Linked DNA regions of Rattus norvegicus. The protein of the gene in region 1 interacts with the protein of each later gene in a biochemical or structural test. Links are inferred from orthologs where the notes say so. Each region holds a gene or a part of one and is shown on either strand. Other genes may lie near its edges.

Evidence for each region. The genes of interacting proteins can lie anywhere in the genome.
Region 2: the proteins of Dmd (region 1) and Dtna form a complex in vitro, tested with the Homo sapiens proteins (3 studies listed by BioGRID and IntAct, with this or other methods). The link is inferred for Rattus norvegicus from reciprocal best matches to the Homo sapiens genes DMD and DTNA.

What each region holds. Positions count from the first base shown.
Region 1 is NC_086039.1:52,112,074-52,115,594, forward strand, and holds part of Dmd (dystrophin), read left to right. Parts: intron 1-2,066; coding exon 2,067-2,246; intron 2,247-2,887; coding exon 2,888-3,016; intron 3,017-3,521. UniProt on the Homo sapiens protein: Anchors the extracellular matrix to the cytoskeleton via F-actin. Ligand for dystroglycan.
Region 2 is NC_086036.1:15,154,021-15,157,541, reverse strand, and holds part of Dtna (dystrobrevin, alpha), read right to left. Parts: coding exon 3,449-3,521; intron 1,012-3,448; coding exon 845-1,011; intron 1-844. UniProt on the Homo sapiens protein: May be involved in the formation and stability of synapses as well as being involved in the clustering of nicotinic acetylcholine receptors.

The DNA.
Region 1 (3,521 bases):
ACCATTTGCCTGCGAATTTCATAAAGTAATTGTTTTTGATAGCTGAGTAATATTTCATTGTGTAGATGTACCACATTTTGTGTATCCATTCCTCTGTTGAAGGGCATCTGGGTTCTTTCCATTTTCTGGCTATTATAAATAAGGCTGCTATGAACATAGTAGAACATGTGGCACTCCTGTCTCAATTGCCTCTCTTTCTAGTCTGTGCTTGTGAGAGTAGGGCATAACCTATTTCTGATTCATCCTGTCACAGATTTCTCTGATTTGTTACTTTGTCTGTCCCTCAATTAAATATCACTTTTAAAGATGGCTGCATCTCTTTACAAATTAAACTTCACTTCATTGTTTGAAATTAAAGGCGTGTACTAAGGTTATGTCTCTATTCCATCTAGATCATAATGTAACAGAGGCTATGTCATTCCATCCAGAAAATATAGCCTTAGAAAGTTTTTAGTTGTTTTTCTTTGCCAGAGCACCCTGGTTGCTGGATTAAAATTTCTCTACAATTTACCTTACATGTGTAACTCACCATTAAATAACCTTTAGTTTGCCTTAAATTAACTTTTACTATTACCTGTGAAGAGTTGATCTCAATGAATTTTCCCAATTTCGATGATTATAATGCAAATTTTCATAAGAAAAGATTCATCTGTTTTACCCATTCCTTCATGATTAACAAATCAGAGTAACTTTAAAATATATTTGTGACTAGGAAATAGTACATTTATTTACTGAAAACCATCAAGTTTATTGGTTAGTATTTTTGAACCTAACTGATCATATATTTTACCCATAAAATGTTAACATTTGCTGCAATTATGATTTCAGTAGAATTCTTCTCATGGTAAATGTTTTCCTATACCACAATATCACTTAATGAAACATATGCAGCCCCAATTTTGCTATCCTTATGTCTACAAATGTAGATATAACATAGTGAATATAATGAATATAATCTTATGTTTTCCTCACTTTAAAATTAAAAAGGAGCTTATAAATTACAGCTTGAGGGAGAAAACTAAGTGTCTTGAGTATAAAGGCAATACTGTTTTATTTTTGTACCTATAACAATGATTACCATCTATATTTATAGAGAATCTATTTTACCCTAGAATTTACAGGATGTTTAGAGGGTTTAAATTTAATTTTTATCTATTTATTTCTAAATAAGCTGTGTCTACCCAAACTTGGTACTTTTCTTATTCCAAAAACGAGTTAATAGTGTTATCTGTGGCAATTTTACAATAGTATCTGGTGCCATAGAGGAATGCAATAAACAGTCATGAATAATATCTGAACAAATTGATTTTAAGCAATCCTTGTCTCATTCTTGTACCACAAATTAAAACCTTCATTATAAATAATCATTTTGCTCATAGTAAATAAATTCATTTGGCATGAGTTACTACAGGATCTGTATTTTAAAATAAAATGATAATAAAAGAACAAATATAGAATCCATAGATGAAAGTGTTTATTTGTTGATAACATCTAGGAGTAAGAAATCTACTGTCTGATAGAGATATACTCTTATCTTCTATCCATGAATACTTCTGTGACTGTACTTGTACAAGTTTTATTTGAATCTACTTGAAACTTGCCAAGATGTGCGGTTCTTCATCTATGATTTTGTCTTTTTTGACTTTGCTTGCAGTTATTGGGACATAGACTTCATTTTAAAATGACTTTTCTTCTTCGTGTCAGTTTTTTTGTACATTTATTTTATACTTTAGAAATCATTATGTGAGGAGTTCATTCAGTTTAACGAGGTGTCAAAAATATTCATATCTCCAAAAGGCTAAATATGTTGCTATAGAAAAATAACCGAGGCGTAGTGGTTTAATTTTCAAATTACAGGTATTGCTTTATAGATGAGTCTTAAATTGTCTGCCTTTAACAAATACATGATCAAATTAATAAACATGTAATATTAATTGAAAAATCTCTAGGTTTAGTTATTAAACATATATAATTATGATTAAAATATCTATCACATTTGTATAACAAAATTTCCCAATTCTACATAAAGTGCATTACTTGAATCTTAATGCTATTTTTTCCTACAGGCTACTCAGAAAGAGATTGAGAAACAGAAGGCTCACTTGAAGAGTGTCACGGAACTAGGAGATTCCTTGAAAACAGTATTGGGCAAGAAAGAAACTTTGGTGGAAGATAAACTGACGCTTCTGAATAGTAACTGGATAGCTGTCACCTCCAGAGTAGAAGAATGGCTAAATCTTTTGTTGGTAAGAGTAGAGGCAGGAAGCTTTTTGTCTTAGCTGAGGTTTTATTGTTGTGAAGAGACACCATGACTATAGCAACTCTTTTAAAGGAAAACATTTAATTATGGCTGACTTAAAGTTTTAGTGACTTAGTTCATTATTATCATGGTGGAAAACATGGGAATATACAGCCAGACAGAGTGCTGAGAGTTCTACTTCATGATATCCAGGCAGTAGAATGGGAGATTGTGTTCCATATTGGGCAAAGCCTGGGCAAATGAGACCTCAAAGCCCATCCCCCAATGAGATTTTCTACATGGCCTAACCTACTCTAGTAAAGCCATGTCTTACAATAGTGGGGGCTGTGGGGACCATTTTCTTTTAAAACACAACATTTCTTTTTCACTCTTCCTTCTCAGCAAGCTAACAAAACAAAAACAAGAAAATAATAAATTAGGAATGATACTTGTGTTTGAAAATTCAACTGCTCTCTATATATGCTGATATAGAGTCTCATAATTCCAAGATATTTTTCAATACTTAGTATTACTTTCTATTTCTGATGTTACTTAAAGGTAATTTAAATATTTCATTGTTTTCTTTGTAGACAGTGGAAAAATGCTTTAGGAATTTTGTCTAACCAGATATATTTCCATACAATTCAGGAATACCAGAAACACATGGAATCCTTTGATCAGAATGTAGAGCATATCACCAAGTGGATCATTCACACAGATGAACTTTTAGATGAATCTGAAAAACGGAAACCACAACAAAAGGAAGATATTCTTAAGGTAGCAAATAAAATATGAGAAGTAGTTTTCAAACTGTACCTGTTATGACAATTATGTTTCAACTGCAAAATACCAAAGACTTTCTTATAAAGCCTAATATCTTTATTTTTTTCTACCTGTGTTGCTTCCATCTTTTGATCATCCATCATTATTTTCTATCTTACGACATTCATTCCTTTCTATTCCTCCTCATTTTAGAAATCAATGTCATTGTAGAGATCTATAATTTGGGTATCATGTCTGACCTCTCTCTATATGTGCTAAAACCATAAAGGGTTGCACAAATTACTTTTCTGCCATATTGCAAGTCATTCTTACTTTAATAGCAATATTATTTTCTGCACCATCAAAATAGTTTCTCGTTGATTCATACAGCCTTTATTAAATACTCATTTTTTCTATCTACTAGTGTCAAAGATCAAACTTAGTATGCATTTAGTTTGCCTGCTCTAAAAACACTAAATTAAGGGTTGTACAAACTCCCAGGTGTTTTAATATTTATGTC
Region 2 (3,521 bases), on another chromosome or scaffold:
AAAACAAAACAAAACATGCAGTATCTTGTTTATCAATACGTACAGAAACAAAGAGAAGTAAAAGATCGAAAAAATGTGTACTTTACAGTAAAGTAAGCTGGACCCAGGCCTGCCTGCTTTTCTGTTGGTTAGATCAGCTCTGACCTGTCTATATCCTGAGAAGAATCAATGATTGGTTCTTCCAGTATTTAAAGTCTCAGGAAGTCACACTCAGCTTAGATACACACAGTAAGAGGTCCCAATAGGATCAGGAATGGCAGGCCAGGGGACATTGGAGTAGAAATTAAGTTTGCCCTTAATTCTATCATCATGTGTCCTGGGTAATTTTTTGTTTTTGTTTGTTTTCTGGTCAACTTCACACAAGTCGGGGTCATCTGGGAAAGGGAACCACAAGTGAGAAAAATCATCCCATCGACAAGTCTGCAGGTCATTTCCTTGATTAACCATCACTGTGGGAGGGCCCAGCCCTCTGTGGAACATCCCATCCCGGGGAGGTGGTCCCGGGTGCTATAAGAAAACAGGTTGATCCGAAAAAAAGAACCAAAAAAAAAAAAAAAAAAAAAAAAGAAAACAGGTTGAGCAAGCCATGAGAGCAAGTCAACAAACCAGGCTCTTCCATGGCCTCTGTTTCCGTTCCTGCCTCTAGGCTCCTACTGGAGTTCCTGCCCTAGCCTCCCTCAGTGATGACTGGAGAACTGGGAGTTCCTTCCATGAGTGAGTTTCCTTTTGCTTTGCTCTTCATCACAGCAACAGAGAAACCTACACCGTAAACACCCTAAACATTCTTCTTCATCCTGGATGACACTCTCACACCCCCTTTCAACACTGCCCGGAAGTCACTTACCCATGATGTATACTCCTTCATTTGGTGCTGGTTGCTATGAGAACCCCCTGCATGGCCCCTCCAGAAGCAGTCCTGGCAGAGCTGGTAGTTGTGACACTGCTGGCATCGGTATCGGAATCCCATCATGCTCTCACTGTGACAGTAGGAACACTCAACCGGATGGAAGACTAGGGAGGAAGTAAATGAGGAAGAAAAAAAAAAAAAACAGGAGTGTGAACTAGACAAGAAAAACACCTCTCTCGGGGAATTCTGTTCTTCAGCTGTGTGCCCTGCTGATTTCAGACCAATTCTGATTGAGAGAAGCATTTAGTTTATTTCTAGAACTGCACTTTTGAAGCATATGCATGTTTGTATGTGGGGGTGAGAGGGTGAGTAGGTATAAAATGGGACGAAGAATCAATGTCCTCTAGCAGCACAGATTACTGTAACGACCTTGGCTGTCTACCCCTATTTCTTATGTCATAAGAATGTAAATTGTCCAAACTGACCAGTTTTCCCCCCATATCATCTCCAGGAGCCCAGGAGATGTCATGAGGACACAGCAGCACAGTGGCTGGACACAGTTCAGGACCTAGTAGGCAAGGGCAAGGTGTTAACAAAGTAAAAAAATGGGAGGAAGATAAAAGAAATGAAATGGGGGAATAGAAAAGCTAGATGAGAGAACTGAGTTCTTAAAAAAAATAGTCACTAGTGGGCTTATTTAATGAGTGACACTGCCTTTATCTGAGACACACACACACACACACACACACACACACACACACACACACACACACACTTTTCTGGGGTAGAAGGATAGGACCCCAAAAGATGAAGAAATTATTTGAACATGGCTCTGACTTAGACTGCTTGAGAGACACTTCACTTGTTGCTAGGAAATGTGAAGTGCCAAGCTGGCCAAGTAAAGGCTTTGAGATTGAACCTAACACATAATCAAATCCAAACTGTCTTCATGCCATGAGCTAAAGATACTAAGACAGCAGCAGCAGCAGCAGCAGTAGCAGCAACAACAATAACAACAATAACTTCTTGCATTGTTGCTATCATCTTACTAACTGGCCAAGAAAAGTAATACAGATAGAATAAATGATGGTAAAAAGTAAAATGGGAGAAAAGAACATATCGTGTTCTTGATGGGTTGTTGTTTAAAGAAGACAACAAGCATCTTCTGGCTTCTGGGAAAGTCAGGGGTATGAGGTACGTCTGGGTAACCACGCTGGCCAGATGCCTAAGAAATAGATCTCTGGTGGGTAACAGGAAGCACTGAGATGTGAGAACTGAAATCACAGAGTTCTGATTGGCATACAGCGCCTTCACACCTTCACAGAGTTCTGATTGGTGCACAGCTTCTACACAGAGTTCTGATTGGCGCACAGCTTCTTCACAGAGTTCTGATTGGCGCACGGCTCCTTCACAGAGTTCTGATTGGCGCACGGCTCCTTCACAAAGTTCTGATTGACGCACAGCTCCTTCACAGATTTCTGATTGGCGCACGGCTTCTTCACAGAGTTCTGATTGGTGCACGGCCTCTTACGGAGTTCTGATTGGCGCACAGCTTCTTCACAGAGTTCTGATTGGCACACAGCTCCTTCACAGAGTTCTGATTGGCGCACGGCTCCTTCACAGAGTTCTGATTGGCGCACAGCTCCTTCACAGAGTTCTGATTGACACACAGCTCCTTCTGGGATGCCCACCAGAACTCTGACCCCATCCTGTCTCACAGCAGGTACTTACATGTGATTACATATATGTGATTTTTAGTAATTGCAAAGGAACTAGGAACTTTATTCTCTAAACTTTGTTCAAAATAAACTTAGGAATAGTTAGAGACAACAGAGTCAGATGCTAAAAATTCCAAATGAGAATTTAAAACGAAGTCATCTTTCCCCAGTGTGCATTAAAGCGACAAATAGACATGGGCTACATTATTTTCTATTCAAGTTGGAGAAATTCTGTGGTTTGACGGAAAAACCACAAACATTAAATAGAGGCTCTAGTTTGTTCTATGTGTAAATTTCTTTAAACCGTATCCTAGGTTGTATTTTACATTTAAATCTGGATATGTCAATGGTAAACATCTCTTATATTAGAAACCTTTGCTATTTTTGAAAAGAAACATGCAGTGGAATTTATACTACCTTGTCTTTAACATAGATTTACTTAATGGACGGCTATCACATTGAACAGGTAGGTGCCGTAAGGTGAGCAAGTTGCTGTCATTTATTGCTCTCACCTATTTCTGGGTGATTGCTTTGGGAAAAAATGGTTAATGTTTTAGATACCAGCATCGGACATTCCCTTCTAAAACAATCCTTTACTTGGGATTTTTCTATCGAACACAAGTAGCTTATAATTGAAGTTACAATTTATCACCACCATCACCACCACCATCGCCTTCACCTTCACCTTCACCTTTATCGTCATTATTTTAGCATTCCTCACCCTAATGTTGTAGCATAAAAGGTTTGATGAGTCAGGAGGTAGTTTTGTTAAATGATCCACTGAACAAATTTCCCTAAAACTGTCATGGGCTTCCTAACTGTAGACTTTATGGTTGAATTTGAGCAATTTAAATAGCGTTTTGGTCCAGCAGTAACTACTCACCATTTTCTACATTTGCCAGTCGATGCAGAAGAGGCAGCCATACCAGACACTGTGGAGGAGGGTCTGACATGAG